Linked DNA regions of Sus scrofa. The protein of the gene in region 3 interacts with the protein of the main gene of each other region in a biochemical or structural test. Links are inferred from orthologs where the notes say so. Each region holds a gene or a part of one and is shown on either strand. Other genes may lie near its edges.

Region 1 (4,506 bases), on a different chromosome or scaffold from region 3:
ATGGCTTCTTTTTCTCTTTAGCAGGACTTGGCCCTCTGGAGCATGTACACTAGGCTGTTCAGTCCTGGGCTGTGCTAGCAGCCCCTTCACAGGAAGAGCAATGGCTGCAGCCGCAGCCTCTCACCTGAACCTGGATGCCCTCCGGGAAGTGCTGGAATGCCCCATCTGCATGGAGTCCTTCACAGAGGAGCAGCTGCGGCCCAAGCTCCTGCACTGTGGCCATACCATCTGCCGCCAGTGCCTGGAGAAGCTGCTGGCCAGCAGCATCAACGGCGTGCGCTGTCCCTTTTGCAGTAAGATTACCCGCATAACCAGCCTGAGCCAGCTGACGGACAACCTGACCGTGCTGAAGATCATTGACACGGCTGGGCTCAGCGAGGCCGTGGGGCTGCTCATGTGCCGGGCCTGCGGGCGGCGGCTGCCCCGGCAGTTCTGCCGGAGCTGCAGCGTGGTGTTATGTGAGCCCTGCCGGGAGGCGGACCACCAGCCTCCCGGCCACTGCACGCTCCCTGTCAAAGAGGCCGCCGAGGAGCGGCGCCGGGACTTTGGAGAGAAGTTGGCCCGTCTACGGGAGCTCATGGGGGAGCTGCAGCGGCGGAAGGTGGCCTTGGAAGGTGTCTCCAAGGACCTGCAGGCACGGTATAAAGCCGTTCTCCAGGAGTACGGGCACGAGGAGCGCCGGGTCCAGGAGGAGCTGGCTCGCTCTCGGAAGTTCTTCACAGGCTCTTTGGCTGAGGTTGAAAAGTCCAACAGTCAAGTGGTGGAGGAGCAGAGTTACCTGCTCAACATCGCAGAGGTGCAGGCTGTGTCCCGCTGTGACTACTTCCTGGCCAAGATCAAGCAGGCGGATGTGGCGCTCCTGGAAGAGACGGCGGAGGAGGAGGAGCCCGAGCTCACCGCCAGCCTGCCCCACGAGCTGACCCTGCAGGACGTGGAGCTCCTCAAGGTCGGCCACGTGGGCCCCCTCCAAATCGGGCAGGCGGTTAAGAAGCCCCGGACAGTCAACATGGAAGACTCCTGGGCCATGGAGGCTGCGGCTTCTGCTGCCTCTACTTCTGTGACATTTAGAGAGATGGACATGAGCCCCGAGGAAGTTGCCAGCCCGAGGGCCTCGCCTGCTAAGCAGCGGGGAGCCGAGACAGCCGCCAGCATCCAGCAGTGCCTCTTTCTCAAGAAGATGGGGGCCAAAGGCAGCACTCCAGGCATGTTCAACCTTCCGGTCAGCCTCTACGTGACTGGTCAAGGCGAGGTGCTGGTCGCTGACCGAGGCAACTACCGTATACAAGTCTTTACCCGCAAAGGCTTCTTGAAGGAGATCCGCCGCAGCCCCAGCGGCATCGATAGCTTTGTGCTGAGCTTCCTTGGGGCTGATCTGCCCAATCTCACTCCTCTCTCAGTGGCCATGAACTGCCACGGGCTGATCGGTGTGACTGACAGCTATGACAACTCCCTCAAGGTGTACACCTTGGATGGCCACTGCGTGGCCTGTCACAGGAGCCAGTTGAGCAAGCCCTGGGGCATCACAGCCCTTCCATCCGGCCAGTTCGTGGTAACTGATGTGGAGGGTGGAAAGCTCTGGTGCTTCACTGTTGACCGAGGAGCAGGGGTGGTCAAGTACAGCTGCCTGTGCAGTGCCGTTCGGCCCAAGTTTGTGACCTGCGACACCGAGGGCACCGTCTACTTCACCCAGGGCTTGGGCCTTAATCTGGAGAATCGGCAGAATGAGCACCACCTGGAGGGCGGCTTCTCCATTGGCTCTGTGGGCCCCGACGGGCAGCTGGGTCGCCAGATCAGCCACTTCTTCTCAGAGAACGAGGATTTCCGCTGTATCGCCGGCATGTGTGTGGATGCGCGTGGGGATCTCATCGTGGCTGACAGCAGTCGCAAGGAGATTCTCCACTTCCCCAAGGGGGGCGGCTATAGTGTCCTTATCCGAGAGGGGCTCACCTGTCCAGTGGGCATCGCCCTCACTCCTAAGGGGCAGCTGCTGGTCTTGGACTGTTGGGATCATTGCATCAAGATTTACAGCTACCATCTGAGAAGATATTCTACCCCTTAGGGGGCTGAGTGATAGCAGTTTCTTGTGCTCCTCAGCCATCTTCCCTTCCCTCATTCCTTGGTGGTTGGTGGTACTGTAGCGTAGACTTGGCCTGTGTCCTGATTCCAGCTGGCTAGTCCTAGAAGTTTAGAAGCTCTGTCTCTTTTAGTGTGTTTGTTTGTTTTAATTTGCATTATCTCCTCCCTAAGTTTAGAGCTTTAACAGATGCACTGCCCTAAATAGGACACGATATGAGGTTAGCCGATGTTTGAGTAGAACCTAGACACTTCCAGGGCTTCAGTAGCCTTTTGCCCCTGTATTTGAAATTTGCCCTTGTATTGAATCCTTGTTGATTTTTCTCTCTTTTGGCTTTGACCACTCTGGTCCATTATTTCCTCCCTTATTGATATACACTCCATCTGTGACTTTCTCTTCAGCTCTGCTGCATTTAGCATGCATGCTCCAGTGGGACCTGCTGCACCTTTCAGTGACACTTCAGACATCCTATCCCTGTGGCATGATGTCTCGGGTCAGAGCACCTTTCACTTAGTGCCACCAAGGGAGACATACAGTCCCTCTGGGAAGCAGGGCCTCTCAGCTCTGGGGGGGTCTGTGCTATCTTGGATTGGTCTCCAGTTGTGGCAGTGACAGAGGATGGATTGACCCTTGTTGGCTGGTATTGAAGGCCTTAGCCTGGAAATTGCTAGCCTTTCAAAGGAGCATATGGATTGGAATTAGGCCAAAGCATAGGAAAATGGGAATAAACAGAAATAAATGCTTTTATAGTGAAAAGACACTGTTGGGTAGTCTCTAGAGCTCATCGTTTTTCATACTACCTCTCTCCACTGACCTGTGCTAAGAGCTGTCTGTGGAATTGTACAACACAGGCTGGGGCCAACACAGTGCAGAGGGGGACACATCTCATTTTCATCATTAAAACTGTGGGGTCCTTATTCTGTATTTTCCTCAAGTGAGTGCATCATATTTGGTTTGGGGATTTATTTCCATTCCTCTATCAAGCATTAAATGATTGATAACTGTTTCTTCATCACTGGTGTTCGTGTCTTTTCATTAAATATGGGATTTGGGAGGTGGGGGTGGTATCTGCTGCTTTGTTTCCACACCTGACACTCCATCCTTTGAGGATGGTAAGAATCTACCTAGGTCACCATTCAGCCAAAAGTACCATTATGTCAAGTTAATCCAGATCCTACTCCCACATAACCTGTGTATGGAATCAGCCTCCAAGGTCTGCAGTCACCAGCACCCTGTTTTAAACTCAGCCTCCACCTGCTTTATCCTTATAATTACAGTTCAAAAGAGGAAGGAATTTGTGATTTCAGGAAGACCTGAAGTGGGTGAGGGAATTTGTGACAAGGTTCCTCAGGCTTTGGTGTTTAACAAGCAACATATCTTGCTCTTTGGGTGCAGGGCTGATGACAAGCCAAAGAACTATTACCTGGCTTTCACAGAGCAGATTCTACTAAGCCAAGCTTCTCAAAACTGCTTTTTGGTGGTGGTGGTGCTTTTTTGGCTTCTGTTGTGATAGCTGACAAAGCATAGGAAAGAAGCTAATTAAAATGATGTCAAACTAGTTTGTCTTGTGCTTTTCACCTGGAGAAAAGCCCCACGTTCTGATTATGAAATTGCATCCGATTTTCAAAGACTGTATAATTGAGAGGAAATTGATCCAATTAAGAATGCATCGCGAATTGACTCCACCAGTTATTAGAGCCACTTTATCTGTTGTAGCACCTGGCAGCAGGAGATCTATCTTTGCTGTCAGAGGGGGACTTGCTGAGGCAGTAATGGTGTTTGAGGCCTTTGGCACAGGGTTTGCAGCGGAGAAATGGTGCTGCAGGCTGGCTTAATATAAACAATGCCAGGACTCCTAACTGCCTGTGCTTTTGGAAGGAAGTGCTGTCGCTGTTGGCATTCGGCACTTAGACCTAACCCATCTCCAAACCACACTCATGCCTTGGTCCTCAAGTGTAGCAGGTATCTGTTGGCTCAGAATGGAAATAAATGTGGTCTGAACGTTTTTGTTCCCTTGATGTGAATAGTTTAGGTTGTGCTTAGTACAGTCAATTTTCAATTATCTACCATATTGACAACATTGCAGCGTGTAGCCCCAGGAAACTAATTTGCTCAATTACAGCACTTTTTTTTTTTTTTTGGTATTTTTTTAGTTGTTGTTTTCTCTTTTTAAGTGGCAATGCCATTATTCAGATAAAGTCTTACATGCAAGACTTTAAAATAGATCAAAAAGCAGCTGCTCTGGCTGAAGCAAGCTTGTGGGCCTGGAAAACAGGCTTTATCCCCTCGCCTAACCTATATGCAATTGCAAAATTCATGAATCTATGGAACACTTTCTAAAAACCACTAACCTACAGCATTGCTTATCTTCCAGTTCCAGCTTATTACAAGTAGCCATGGGCAAGTCCTTTAACACTTCCTCTCCTGGAAAA
Region 2 (4,569 bases), on a different chromosome or scaffold from region 3:
CGGTTATCTCAAATACATATCTGCACCCCCATGTTCATTGCAGCATTATCTGCAATAGCCGAGACATGGAAACAAACTAAATATCCATTGGTAGATGAATGGAAAAGTAAAATGTATTCTATATCTGTCTATCATCTACCTATCAGGAAATCTTGCCATTTGTGATAACACGGATAACATAACCTTGAAGATATTACACTGAGATAAGTTAAAGACAAACACCTGATCTCATTTATATATGGAATCTGAAAAACCGGACTCATAGAAAGAGTGAGATTGGTGGTTGTCAAAGGTGAGGGGCAGGGGGTGGGGCAACGGGTTGGGGGGGTCAGCGTGCAAACTTTCAGCTGTAAGATGAATATGTTATGAGAAGGTAATAAACAGCATGGCGACTATAGTTAATACTTTACTGTGTATTTGAAAGTTACTAAGAAAGTAGATTTTTTTTTTTTTTTTTTTTTTTTACTTTTTAGGGCTATACCTGAGGCAGGTGGAAGTTCCCAGGCTAGGGGTCGAATCAGCGCTACAGCTGCCAGCCTACACCACAGTCACAGCAACGCCAGATCTGAGCTGTGTCTGCAACTTACACCACTGAGCGAGGGCAGGGATCAAACCTGTGTTCTCATGGATGCTCATCAGATTCGTTTCTGCTGAACCACGACGGGAACTTCCAAGAGATCTTAAAAGTTTTCACCACAAACTGGCACAAATGTAACTATGTGAGGTGATAGAGTTAACTAATCTTATTGCGGTAATCATTTTTGCAGTATATATATGTAATATATATATATAATCATTACATTATATGCCTTAAACTTAGAAAATGTTACATCTTAATAAAGCTGGCAGAAAAAAAAATATACAATGGAGTATTTTCAATCATACAAGAAGGAAGTCCTGCCTTTTGTGACAACATGAATAAACCTTACATTATCCTAAGTGAAATGAGCCAGGCACAGAAAAACAAATACTCTGGGATTTCTCTTATATGTAGAATCCAAAAAATTGGAACTCATAGAAATAGAGTGGGCATGGAAGTAGGGGAAACAGGGAGATGTTATCTCTACACTACATCTCCAAACACACTTTTAGTTTGGAGATCTAAAGTAGAGCGTGGGGACTATAGTTTAAAATATGATATTGTATACTTGCAATTTGCTAAGAGTTGATCTTAAATGTGCTCATTATACACACAAAAACAGTACGTGTGGGGTGATGAATTAATTAGCTCGATTGTGGTAATTGTGAACGGAAGTTTGGCCCTTGCCATCAGCCTCTACTGGGAGTAAAACACGAGCCACTGCATCTGCCCACCCGCAGCACCCCCTGAGCGGAGCGTGGGGTGGGGACCAGCAGGGAGGCCCTCTGTGCTCTGGGAAAACTGGAAGAACAGATCCTCAGAGAGTTAGGTATTTTTAGGAGAAGATACGGCTGGGAGGTAGTGAGGGGAGTAGGGGAGCCAGCAAGCTGGGTATTTAACAGGGTGATCTAAGGCGTGCGTAATTCAGCCTTTATTTTATTTTCTGTAATTTTTAAACTTCATTTTTATCTTTTAATTTATCTTTTTCTTCTTTTGGCTGCCCCTCGGCACATGGAGTTCCTGGACCAGGGATCATATCTGAGACGCAGTTGCGACCTGAGCTGCAGGTGCTGCAACGCCGGATCCTTAACCCACTGTGCGGGGCCGGGGGTCCAACCTGCATGTCCCAGCGCTCCCAAGACGCCGCCAATCCCATTGTGCTACAGCGGGAACTCCTCAGCCTTTATTTTAAAAGGATGGCTGCTAATGGCTCTTTTTCCGTAGCAGCGTGGAGCCATCCGTGATGAGACGTGACCATGTCGGAAAGCTAATCCCAGAGGTGTACGAGACAAGAGTGGTGGGGCAGACGGAGGCCCAATTTATTTAGGAAGCCCTTTGCAAGATCTACAGGAGAGATCTGAGCAGAGGCCCGGAGATGGAGAGGAGAACATGCTTCAGTTGATCCAGATGAGTTTGGGGCCAGATACGAGTGGCTGGCTTATGGAGGGGCTCATGAAGCAACGGAGGGCAGGAATCTGGGTGTTGAAGGTCATTTGACACAGACCCCCCGTGACCTCTCTGCCAGCGTTTGCTTGCTGATATCCTGACACCTCTGCAGAGGTAACGGTGGTTGGGCGTCCAGGGGCAAATGAGGCAGGGCTCTTGGCTGAGAGGGGGGCTAACAGAGAAGCGCTGCCACCGACAGTCTCTGGATCCCTACCAGCCCGTCCTCAGTGGACAGAGGGTCAGGGGGGGTGCATTTCTTCCACCGTCATTGAAACCAGGATTGAAGAAGGGCCGAACGGGTCCAGCGAAGCACATTCTGAGAAGCTGTAGATGAGGGAGCCGTGGTCACTGATGTTGTAGAAGGAGACGGTGCTGGCATCGTAGTCCAGGAAGATCCCAACGCGGCTCGGAGGCACCTGAGGGTAGAGGGGAGTCTGGGTGCAGGTGCCAGCCTCATATTTTTGTTTGTTCCACAGCCAGATGGTCCAGAAGCCATTGCTGGGGTTGAGCAAAAAATGTCCCTTCCTCTTCACGGAGTCTCGACACACACCCAGGTCCCAGGCCTCCTTGCCGGCCACATCCACCTCCCAGTAATGTTTCCCAGAGTTGAAGTGCTGGGCACCCAGGACCATGGGGTAGGTATCAAATCTCTCCTCGTTTTCGGGCACTTCCTGCCGGGTCTCTCCAAGCCTCACTTGTCGCCGATTCTCTGAAAGGACGAGCCACGGACTGGCCGTCAGTGGGTCCAGAGTGATGTGCACTGGAGAGAGAGGCCCGTGGTCAGGCTGGGAGAGCGGGGGGAGTCAGTAACCCTGAGTCCGGGGTGGGGGATGAGGAGGAAGTGACCCCCGGCCAACTCCGCCCCTTGCCCTGACCTTTGGGGGAACCACCTCCCCTGTCTCCACCCCCGCCCCGCCTACTCCCACCTGCCATCTCTCCCCGACCCTGGGAGGCACTGGGCATCCCTGTCCTCCCCTCTGCTCCTGGGCAGGCCAGTCCCACACCGCTGGTGCCGGCCTCACCTGCATATGACCTCAGCATCCTCTTAATCCCGGGCACATAGCACAAGCTGCTCAGGTCTGGGAAGCCGATGTTCAGCTCCTTCAGGTTCCAAGACTCACTCCTGGGGGAAAAAGAGTTAGAGACCCCCTCTGCAACTCCTAAGGAACCCTCTCCCTATTATCACCTCTGCGGATGACTGGTAATTCAATGCAAATGTGCAAACTCCTCCCGTGCTGCTGGGGTCCCTCGGGGTGGAGGGCGAAGGGAGGTAGGATGCAGTTTCCACCCAAGCACATCCTGTTCCATTTTTACGTTCAAGGCATCTGATACAGGCTGCATCACTTCCCTGAGGGACCTCATGCTGCGGGTCTTACCCAGGGCCCGTTCTGGGAGGTTTGAAACTGGTCAGGTTCTTTTTAAAGCAGCCCCAGCGGGCCGCAGACTCACAGCTTCCCTGCTGGTCAGAACCTCACTTGGTGAAGATTTTATACTCCAAGGACTGGGCACCTCGGCAACGGAGATGTCCATTAATCAGCCTTCTGAGACCAGAAACTATTTCAGCGAGAACTGGGTCTTTGAGAACAGGGAGAAGGATGGGGAAAACCTCAGTGCTTTTTTTTTGGTCTTTTTAGGGCTGCACTCATGGCATACGGAAGCTCTCAGGCCAGGAGTCAAATTGGAGCTGCAGCCGCCGGCCTACAATCCAGCCACAGCCACAGTCTTGCAGGATCCAAGCTTAATCTGCGACCTACACCACAGCTCATGGCAATGCCAGATCCTTAACCCCCTGAGCGAGGCCAGGGATCGAACCTGCATCCTCATGGATGCTAGTTGGGTTCGTTTCTGCTGAGCCACAAAGGGACCTCCAAGGGCACATTTTTAAACCTGAAAACCTTTCCCACAGGTGACTATGTTTCCTGCCACCTTCTCCTCCAACAAAGAAAGCCTCTCCTTACCTTTCCAGGACACTCTTCACCTCCTGAGGAGAAAAGAGACAGAGAGTAAGTTCTGGAGTCACTGGATGATGACGGAGACGTCAGTCCTGTGGGTGACGCGATGCCACCTGAGGACCACAGGACACTTCTCCGCCCCATTCCTCTGGGCCAAGGCCCGAAAGACGTCTTGGACCAGCTTGGAAGCAAAGGTGTGTGTGGGCGCTTGTGGGGGAAGCAGAAACCCAGCGTGGGTGGGACCTCCAGCAGGGGAAGGAAGGGCCGTTTACAAAGTCGGATGCAGAAAAAACTAACATTAAAAAGACCGGATTCTCGGTGGGGGTCGGGGAGCGCGGAAAGGGGCAAACAGCCCAGCCTGGCTGAGGTCCCAAGGTGGCCCCTGAGAAAGAATGGCCACGAGAGGATGCCCAGAACACACAGAAACTGCTCCCACTGTGGCTTGAGCTGTTCGGGTGCTCTGTGCTGCTTAATGCTGCCCCCATTGTGCATGTGAAACCAATATGCCTGAGAATATTCTGTTGCAGGTGGGTGGGGGCCCTTACCTGGGAACTGGCAGGCTCCTAGGCTCGGACAAAAGTGCCTCAAAAA
Region 3 (5,619 bases):
CCAGGCTAGGGATCAAACCCACATCACAGCAGTAGCCTGAGTCACTGCAGTGACCGGAACCTTAATGTGCTGCACCAGAATGGAACTCCCATTATGTTGTATTTTAATTTACAAATACGTTTTAAGTTAAATTGACTATTAAATATTCCATTTGGGGGACAAAACTATACACTAAGGAATAGCCATCTGTGTTGCTATATTTGTAAAACAAAACTCTTTTGTTTAATTTTTCAAGATAGATCACATCATTTAGTATTGTGATTAGTACTTCAATTTCTTTATCAAATAAAATCTAGAGGGAAATATAAATACACTCAGACGATGACGATTGTGTTAAATTTCCTTTTTTTTTTTTTAACTTTCCAGTTTTCAAAACATTCAGTATTGTGATATAACATCTGTAATTTAAAAAATGATTTTCGGAGTTCCCGTCGTGGCGCAGTGGTTAACGAATCCGACTAGGAACCATGAGGTTGCGGGTTCGGTCCCTGCCCTTGCTCAGTGGGTCAAGCTTCCGGCATTGCCGTGAGCGGTGGTGTAGGTCACAGACGCGGCTTGGATCCTGCGTTGCTGTGGCTCTGGCGTAGGCTGGCAGCTACAGCTCCAATTCGACCCCTAGCCTGGGAACCTCCATATGCCGCAGGAGCGGCCCAAGAAATGGCAAAAAGACAAAAAAATAAAAAAAAAATAATAATAAATAAATAAAAAATGATTTCCAAAAAATTTACCAAGGCTTGAAAACAGTATTAACAGAAGAAACATTCAAAACTAATTCTAGAAAATAGCAAATGCCCAGCTGAAAACTGCCCTCTTTTTTCAGACATGCCTTAGTTATCTTTCCTTAGACTTTGCTCAAATTTCTTCCCTTTAGTGATTTAGGTGACTATGATAACATCTTCCACTGTATCTAAAAATAGGGCATGAGTGTGTAAATTTATGAGCTGAAATGTAAAAACTGGCACTGGATGTCTAAATTAGAGTATTAAATCATTTACCGTACTCTAGCATAAAAATATATTTTAAGCACTCATCTCCACATGCTTTGTATATTCATACAATTTTAATTCAACCATCCTTAATCTTTTCATATGAAGTGAAGAAATGTGAAATCATGAACTTTTTAACATTCTCAAATATGCCAAATCACTTCTTAAGAGATTAACTTGGACAAAGCACTCCACTCCAAACCTCAGACTCCTCTGACTAACAAGGAGACTAGACTAGAATGTCAGTGGTTCTCAGCCTTCTTTCCACCCCAGCCCATCTGAGGGATTCTACAACTGACAGCAGTCATGGACAGCAGTGGGGACAGCCTGCAATACATCTCTCAGAGGTGATTCTGATACACTACCCTAGAAGCTGTTCCCCTTCTCTCCACTCCACTCTGCTACTGCAGAGTTCTTTGAGGTTCTGCAGTTCTATAGGCTGCCACTGCAGGTACAGGAAAATAACAACCCAGAGGACCTGGAAGGCAACTGACAGTATTCCTTTAATACACTTAAAAAGAAAGGCCAAACATTACTATGCATTTTCTTTTGTTGAAGCATGCAAAATTCAAAGAGAATCTGTATAATGATGCTATCAAATAGGGCTTTGTAAGTGTTCATATGGCAAACAGCACACATTCTCTGGAATTCTTTTTTAATCAAGGGGGTAGGTAAGGCAAGAGGAAAAGTGGGGAATCAAAACAAATACCTTCTAAAGTTTGAGGGAATTGTTTGAACATGGAAGAGAGATTTATGCAAGTCAACTTTTCTGACAACAGAGAAGGAAAGCCAAAGACTGACACATAGAGATGGGATGTTATGTGACCCCAAATCTCCTCCCCAAACTATCAATTTGTTACAGATCTGACATCAATTCTACGTAAGAATATTTTCTTAACCAGACAACTCTGTTACAAACTAAGAGCTGAAAATATGATTTGGGTATATGCCATATTATAAATACAAATCAAATATACTGGCTCAGCATGGTGATTGATAGTTGCCCAGTATATTTACAAATAATGACAATTTCCTTTGTCTACTGTGGACAAATTCTACACTACTTAAAAGCTATTATATGTGTAAAGCTTTGTAAAAAATTCTCACAACTAGAGAAGAAGAAAATGTAATTTTTAAGACTTACTTGGAAAAATGTGTGTGGTTTACTTCAAATGAGAGCCAATATTACATCATCATTAATAAGTACACAAGGCATGGCAAAGATGCTGAGTGAGGCTTCAGATTAGAATTATCTATTAAAAAAAAATGTGTAACTGCATTATCTTCAAACCAGAAAACATACTAATCAATAAATGCTGATCATTAGCTATGGGCTTTATAGCGAGAGGAACTTTAAAAAGTACAAAAATTAACAATATTCCACAGATTTAGTATTTGACTCTCCCCCCCCAAAATTGGCTGGTTCTAGAAAGTTGCTGTCCTCTGTACCAGAAGATGCCACCAATGGTGACTAAGAAAACATCTCTATCACTGTTCTTTTGATTCATGCCTGAAAAGGTTGATAAATTTTTTCGGTAGGATTTCTTCTGAAATCCTTTACAAAACATACTGTCCATTGTTGGCTTAACTTGCTGAACCTAACTCCCATTAAAATAACAAATTCTCAATGTTCTCCACATGAAACATACCAATAAAACCTAAAACTTGTGTCAGTGAACAGACCAAATCACCTAACAAGAAGTAAAAGTGAACAGAAAGAAAATGCCCCAACCCAATTTTGTAAGATGTTCATGTAGAGACAGTAGCAATAGATACTATGCAAGAGAAGACAATACCTTACACTGCGTTTGGGATAGACAAACATTTCTTTAATGAACGTACACATTTCTTCCTCATTCTATACCCATGTGTCAAAACATCAAACAATTAAATTTGTGGCAGTTTCTGTTGTGTCTCAAACTTTACACCTAAGTTTATCATGAGGGGTAAAAAAAACCTGCTTGGCTTGACTTGCCATGAATCACAGCCAGGAGGTCATCTTGCTGTGTATCAGCAACTATGTTTTCACTACAGCTATGTGACCTGAAGTGGCAGCAGCAGAGGGACCAAAATAGAAGGGGCAGGAGGCTTCTCGGCCCCAAACAGGCTTTTCCAGCCCATTCGGGCATCTGAGCAAGAGCCAACCTCAGAGGAGAGAAAGAACAAATCCAAGGGCTCCGCGGAGGAAGGCTGCAGGCCCACCACACCTTCCTTGCCCTCCCCGGGAGTCCAGGGAGACAAGAACATAAAAGAGAACCGGCTTAAGAAACAGCTTGAAGAAAGCAGCATGACAAGGGCCAAAACTCGCCCGGTATAGGACAAAATTCAGGCGCGACCGAGAAGCACAGATTTCGGGAAGGTCTGGAGACCGAAACGATCTCCGGCCGGGGCTCCGGGCGCAGGTCCTGAGAGAGCGCACGGCGGGCCCCCTGCCTCCCAGCACCTCCAGCGCCCGGGACCTGCCGCTGCTCCCACCTCACCTGTCGGGTGCCCGCTGGCCCCGCCAGCATCCCTGGCCCCTGGTTCCCGCCCCGGCCCATCCTTCTTTCACGTTCCCTCCAGGCACAACTCTCAGACCACCGCCGGGCTCAGCGTGGGCAGGGGGCTGAAGCCCCCGCCCCAGACCGGGCCCCGGCACTCACTTTCTGAATCCGCTTCAGCGCCATGGGTCAGGGAGGACAGCGGGGACACTGGCCGGTGGGGGACGGCTTCGGGGCTCGGAGGCGTGGGATCGTTGCGGACTCGGTTCGCTGGCTATTCGGCTGGCTCAGCCGGGAGGGTCCCGGCTTGCTGCTCTCTCGCTCGCTCCGGGAGCCGCTGCCCGTTCCGAGTGCGCCCCAGCGCCAGTATGCGGGCGGGGACGCCGGTGAGACTCTTTTGTTTCCGCTTTTGCTTCTGGGAAGGAGGCTGTGTCCGCCCCGCCCCGCCCCGCCCCATCCCGCCGGGCACTTTGGGAAGTGTAGTTCCGGCTCTTCCTGGCCGCCGCCCGGGGCGGGGGTGCGTTGCTCACAGATGACCTAGACCCGCAGGCTGATCTCAGAACTACCCCGGGTTGAGTAGGTCTCTGCAGTTGGATTTTGAGCAAGGTACTGAAGTGGAGTCCCCATTCTGTAAAATGAGGATAACAAATTAGCTTGAAAAACATGTACAAGAATTTCTGACGTGCTGTAGCTCATCTTGCTTTTTTTTACGTTTACAGATTTTACCCTCTTCTCAAATACTTGAATTGCGTCAATTTCTCACATATGCACAGACTTATACCAGTTAAGACACCTTACCTCCTTAATTCCTATTTCAAAAGTCGCCCCTTCTATCTGATGCTAATCCCACCATGTTTGCTTCTTCTTGGAACTCCCAATTCTGAGTTTCATCCTCCTTCCTTTCCGTTGACAGACCAGTAGTACCTGCTCTGTCCCCATAGTCTCCTCGCGCTCCTCACTCACTCAATTCTTATGAACGTGTGTGCTCAATAAAACTTGGCTTCTGCTTTCAGCACCAGCAGAACTCGCTTCTCACCAGAGTCGCACTTGAGCTTCTACTTCCCAAATCGAGTTCGCTCCTTTTCCTCCATGACGTTTTTGACCTATTTCATTGCTGGCTACCTTTTGCTTTTTAAAATACTTACCGCCTACCAGAGCACTAGGGTAGTTGGGGTTTTTACTCCTCTGGCTTTGGCTTTTTTGTCACTAGCTCCCCTTCTCAAGAGTCAGAGTGGCCTGGAGTTCCAGTCTCTGATCTCTACCATGAACTGGGTGGGAGCCCACGAAGCTTGGCTGGAGGGAGGGCTTTGTAGACAGATCCTCTCCTGGAATGGGATCCCAGCTCTGATTCGTACCCACTGTGTGGTTGTGTAGTCAATTAAACTCTCTAAGCCTCAGTTTCCTCATGTCAAAATCTCTAGATATGTTATTGTAAAAATTAACTGATATACATATAACATGCCACAATACCTAATATGTTGAAAGTGCTCTATAAAAATTATTTCCTTGTTTTTTTCTATATGATAATGACTTAAAATCTTTCTTTCCAATGAAACTCTCACCCAAATTTCAGCCTTTTATGTCCAAAAGTCTACTGGACATGTCCACCTTCCTTCTTTGTGGCCAGGAATGAGAATGTGTTACAATGTCAGGGTTGGAGGAAAGCCCCAAACAGTAGCTACCATAGCTTCTTTAAAGGCTTACAAAGAACAAGGAACAAAAATCCACTCATGTAACTTAAAGTCCTAGGTAGATAGGATAGTGAAAGAATGATGGAAATGTGTAATGGAATCTGAAACTTGATTTAGAAGCCTCTCATCCCCTTCCCCCAAAATAAACATAATACTAAAATCTTTCTGGAGTTTAGCTATTCTCTTACTTCCTTTTTCTTGAGGTTTGCTTCTCTGCACTCTGGCCCACCCTCCTTTTCCCAGTTCCCTCTTAGCTTCTCTTGCACGTGGCATGAGCTCCTATCACTCTTACTCCATTTTTTGACACTCTTCCAGCAACTGCTCCTGCTGTTAAATGGCCAGGCCTTTTGGTACTCCCTATCTATTTCCCTAAAAGGAAGAATCTCATTGATACATCCATCTTTTTACTCCAGGCTATAATTTTCAGCTAGTGAGCAAAGTATGGACTGACTACTCTTAGGT
Region 4 (5,071 bases), on a different chromosome or scaffold from region 3:
AACGATCCGGTGTTGCCGTGAGCTGTGGTGTAGGTTGCAGACGCAGCTCGGATCCCGAGTTGAAGTGGCTCTGGCGTAGGCCGGTGGCTATAGCTCCGATTAGACCCCTAGCCTGGGAACCTCCATATGCCGCAGAAGCGGCCCAAAGAAATAGCAAAAAGACCAAAAAAAAAAAAAAAAAAAAGAAATTAAGATACAAGAATTGTAAGTCAAAAGTTATTTATTATATATACCACATGATACATAATAAAGAATTTATTTTATCAGAAGATATTTGGTTATCTTGAATTGTTGACATTTAGAAATGTACCTATCAATTATTAAAAAGAAGAACAATTATTTGGAGAATAATTCACGTAATACTCTGAAGTGTTTCAAATCCAATTATGTAACAACAGGAAGCATCTGCCCCTAATATTTTACATTTTAAAGACCCAAACAGTCATCTAACAACCTACGTTTAAAAAGACTCTATTTTGTAGTGTTTTGATTCTAGAAAGAGCAAAAGGAACAAACCCAATTAGTATGCAATATCATGTTACTAAGCTAAAGCTCTTGGCCCACAAAAATCACTCTTTGGAAATTCAAATTATAAATAAAAACAGGTTACTGGGGTGGGGGGGGAGAGGAAATATCAACTGTACTTCCAAGTAGTTTGGATAAAATAATTCATTGGTTCTTTTGATATACAACCCTATTACTGTGATCTACTTAATAAATACTGAAAATAGAGTTACTTTAGATATCCACTTAAAAATGGCTTTAGTTAATCTATTCTTTTACATTTTGACATCAATTCCTAAGTATACAAAATTCACAAGCATTTAAGAATGTCTATTTTTTACAAGATCACAATCCTTTTCTAGGGTAGTTGAACTTCTGCCATCATACCCACTCATTTAACATCTACTTCTAAAAGAAATTATAAAAACACTAAAAATAGTTATTTCAGTATCTGAAAGTATAGGGATTAACTTTTATTTATCTGGTTGTGAAAAGGTAGGATTTTGTTTGGTTGGTTGGTTTATGATCAATACCCATACATCACATGCTGGCCTATCACCTCTCCTATTCTAATTACAGATTAGTTTGTAAAACCGTTTTCACTGTCTCTTTTCTCTCTTCTAATGCTTTATAATTTAGCTTCTTTTTCAATTACAATTAAGAGATCAAGGCATTAATTTATTAGTCTCCGTCTCTCATTTTAATAGCTAAAACTTAAAGTTGGGGATGGGGACTGGATTCTCATTTGAAAACATACATACAAAAGGACAAACTCTTAGGTACCCCATTACGTAAAAATTTAAATTTTATCCTTATAGTCAAGGACACTAGGGGGAACTTCAGTAATATGATTAGTGTAGTCAATGTGCATATCTGATTAAGTTTGAGATGACTAAAAACTAAAGATAACATGTTTTAAGTACAATACAGCCTTGTCTACAAAAATAAAAATCTAATCTTCCTCCTGGTTTTAACTTTACCTTCCTATAAAGCTATATCCCCAAAATAAATTAAATTGGTTCACACTTAATCTTTACTCTCCCAGAGCATTAATTATGCTCATTATTTAAAAATTATTAATCAATAGCCTACTCCAACCTCTCTCCCACCTCGTTCTCTTTTTTAAAAAAATGTCTGCCATTCGCCTGTGGTTGTATCTCAACATCATACTGACAAACAACATCTGAAAGGGCTACTGTGGACTTTCTGCCGGTCAGAATGTAGGTCTCAGACCACTTTCAATTTAACAGCTTCCTACCATAGACTACAGACCATTAGAGAAGTTTAAGAAGGGGTTTAATTCTCAGACAATACAAAGAAGCTTTCTATTTGTAGGAAAGCCACTGACTATTAATTTCAAACACACTTAGAGACAGCTTGGCTTCTTCCTAGTCTTCACAGGAAAAATACTATGCAAATCTATATGTTTTTTCCTCCACCTCCAATCCTGAGGCAAATTTGTCCAAAAGTGACAAGCAATGTGAAGATCATGATACAAACATGCCTATTAAAGAGAAAACCAAGGCCAAATTTTTAACAATTAATAAAAAATATCAGACATCTTTTTCCTTTGGTCATCCTCATTTTAAGCAGGTCTACTATGAATGACATCAATTAATTGAGAATCTAAATTATACTAAGCATTGTATTTTATATGCATCATCTACAGTCCATCAAAAAAAAAAAAAAAAAAAAAAAAAAAACCCTGGAGGATGGGTATAAATGGCCCTACCTCCTTTGTGAGCAAAGACACCAAGAAAGGCTAAAGATTAGAGAACAAAAGGGCACAGAAATATACTACTTTTCTGTAGCAACAAAAATATTATACGCTATCACGTACAAATCTTTTTGTAAGTTATTTCCTCTACTTTGAGTATGCTTCCAATTATCTTTTTTAAGGTTATACTAGCCCTGACTAAATACAACTTCTCTGAAATCCCTACAGTAATCATAATCACTCTCTTACATTTCACTGTCTACAGCTTGGCCTGGTTTTTTCACTCCCTGTTATAATAGCAGATATTCTTCTCTATTCCCTTAGGGCCCTCTGCACACTTATATAACATGTAATATCACATAGATTTATTTACCTGTTGCTTTCCCCCACTAAATTTACAATACTCCTTGACAATACCAGTTCTTTCCTCTTTTTTTATTCTTGGCACAGAGGACAATACTTAGAATTTAACATATGTTGAATAATAGGAGGCAACTGAATTGAACTTATTTTTGCTAGCTACCTCTTCATGGCTGATTTGTTTTTTAAGTTTACTCAGCTTGCCATATAAAGATTAAAAATTCCCAAATAAAGAATAAAGAGTTATGGAAAAGCAATGTTCTCCAAGATGTCTAAAAACTTCCACAATGTCAAAAATGCACACTTTTACTTTACGAATAGAACTTTCCATAAATCCAGCATAAGAGGCTAGATATGGATATGGAAATAGGAATTGAGATATCTTAAGAAGTCCTGAATGTGTACCTGAGATACGAGACATCCTTGTAGAAAAGTAACATTGCTCTAAGTCTTCAAAATGAGCAGTGAGTCGTTTTCGTCTTGATGCTAATGTGCTGTTATACCAGGGCTGTTTCTTTGTCTAAGGTGATAACAAGAAAAGACACTTGTAACTTAGAATAATTCATACTGTCTTTCATCACAGAATATCCAAATGCTTGCATATTTTTGGTAATTTGAAAAGTTCACACTAAAATAATTACAAATTGTTAAAAACTCAATAGTGATTAGACATATTTTCCAATTCTTATTTTAAAGGAAAAACAGCCCAATTTTATAAGAATAATATAAGAAGCTTCTTTCAATTCTCGAAATTAAATGAAGATAGAATCCATTATGACATTCTAAAACTTAGGATTTTGAGAATTTTAATTTTTAGTAATTGTTAGAAAACAATTACCAAGAGAAAACTAATTACTTTTTCATCTCCTTATATTGCAGCCCTATACCTTTTGAATAAGAGGAACAGCACTTGACTGTACAGAATAGGTACTTAATATTATTAGGTTAAGGGGCCATTAATATGTACTAAGTTTGACATATACATTAGAATAGAATAAATCATACATATATATATATATTGATAGCAACAACAAATCTGAAATACATTGGCATAAAAATCATATAAAGAACAAAAGTCTATGATCCTAAATATATAATACCAACTCCATGCTAACTAAAAGGTATGCCAATTCTTCCACAAATGGTTATTACCTACTTTGCTTGGTTATCACCTATTACGCTTGAGGCACATTAACAGATGAAGAAATAAGAAATATAATGAGACCCTGAGATGACACAAGTTAACAATAATCATACCACAACTGAAAATGTATTAAGATGCATTAAGAAATATTAAGTTGCTTCTTAATTAACAAATAATATTTCAGTTACTACCTAAATATTCATTGAATTAATTAAAAAGTAACTTAATAGTAGTAACACAGATAAAACATTTATCTAAAGTAAACTCCTTCTAAGAGTAGACAATAAGAATTATATTTTAAAGAAGTGCTTGGATCACAAGAAAAAGAGTCAAATTCCAAAGAGATAAACAGCCAAACAGTAAACTGCACTCAGAGAGGTGACAGTAAACAAGATATAACAGAGTAGAAAGAGAAAGAAGGAAATTCTTGAATTAAATTGAAGGACAAGCAGATTCAACTGCAAAAAATAGAGAGAGAGGAAGAAGGAGAGGATAATCTAATTTGGGGACAAATACCTACAAAAGAACAAGTACTAGAATTGGAGAATAAAAAGAGAATTTGTAAATTGAAAGATAAATCTGAAAGAATTAACCAAAATGAATGTATCTGAAGAGTTGATGCTGACAATTTTCCAAAACTGAAAACATACATTGACAGAGACATAGAAATTATTTCTGTCAAGAAGGATAATTAAAAAGAAATCCACAATGAGCTAGCTACCCTAAAGAAAAACTGTTTTTGTCCAAAACAGGTAGATTTTAAAATCAAAGAGAAAAGATACCTCATCCAACAGAAACACTTAAAAAAGGCAAAAAACTTCTCAAAAGCAAAGAGAGAAGCTAGAACAGAGTAAATTTTGGTTATTCTTAAAAAGTTAAAATAACCCCAATCTAAAATTCAGATCCCAAAAAACTATCCTGAAGTAACATGAGCAAAATATTTTTTCATGTGAATGAAAACAAAGATTATCACCAATAAGCCATTTCTTTAAAATTACTGATACCATGTACTTGAAAAGTTCAATAATACAAACTAGAAGGTCTGAGACACAAAATCAGAAACACAATGAAACTAGTAACCGAGTAAGTAATTTTAAAATATTGTTTGTACATACATTAATTTATAGTATCTAATTTATGGGGTTTAAGAATAAGACCAAATAAATATACCAAAAAAGAGCATATAGGTCAGAGAGGACGCAAATATTTTTACTTGAAAAGTCTACCAAACATAAGGAAGATATAACATCAGTCTTTTACAAACTCTCAGAAAACACTTCCCAATTTGTCTCATGAGGCCAGAATAACCATAATACCCAAACCCAAACAAGGACATTCGGGGAACA

The links. The genes of interacting proteins can lie anywhere in the genome.
Region 1: the proteins of UBE2D1 (region 3) and TRIM32 form a complex in vitro, tested with the Homo sapiens proteins (4 studies listed by BioGRID). The link is inferred for Sus scrofa from reciprocal best matches to the Homo sapiens genes UBE2D1 and TRIM32.
Region 2: the proteins of UBE2D1 (region 3) and TRIM21 form a complex in vitro, tested with the Homo sapiens proteins (3 studies listed by BioGRID). The link is inferred for Sus scrofa from reciprocal best matches to the Homo sapiens genes UBE2D1 and TRIM21.
Region 4: the proteins of UBE2D1 (region 3) and RFWD2 form a complex in vitro, tested with the Homo sapiens proteins (2 studies listed by BioGRID). The link is inferred for Sus scrofa from reciprocal best matches to the Homo sapiens genes UBE2D1 and COP1.

What each region holds. Positions count from the first base shown.
Region 1 is NC_010443.5:257,063,826-257,068,331, forward strand, and holds the end of TRIM32 (E3 ubiquitin-protein ligase TRIM32), read left to right. Parts: intron 1-21; coding exon 22-2,059; 3' UTR 2,060-3,086; downstream 3,087-4,506. UniProt on the Homo sapiens protein: E3 ubiquitin ligase that plays a role in various biological processes including neural stem cell differentiation, innate immunity, inflammatory resonse and autophagy.
Region 2 is NC_010451.4:5,787,480-5,792,048, reverse strand, and holds the end of TRIM21 (E3 ubiquitin-protein ligase TRIM21), read right to left. Parts: intron 4,008-4,569; coding exon 3,985-4,007; intron 3,150-3,984; coding exon 3,049-3,149; intron 2,787-3,048; coding exon 2,266-2,786; coding exon of another isoform or gene 2,237-2,265; 3' UTR 1,421-2,236; downstream 1-1,420. UniProt on the Homo sapiens protein: E3 ubiquitin-protein ligase whose activity is dependent on E2 enzymes, UBE2D1, UBE2D2, UBE2E1 and UBE2E2.
Region 3 is NC_010456.5:92,326,562-92,332,180, forward strand, and holds the start of UBE2D1 (UB2D1), read right to left. Parts: upstream 3,653-5,619; coding exon 3,629-3,652; intron 1-3,628.
Region 4 is NC_010451.4:118,015,849-118,020,919, forward strand, and holds part of RFWD2 (E3 ubiquitin-protein ligase RFWD2), read right to left. Parts: intron 3,102-5,071; coding exon 2,987-3,101; intron 1-2,986. UniProt on the Homo sapiens protein: E3 ubiquitin-protein ligase that mediates ubiquitination and subsequent proteasomal degradation of target proteins.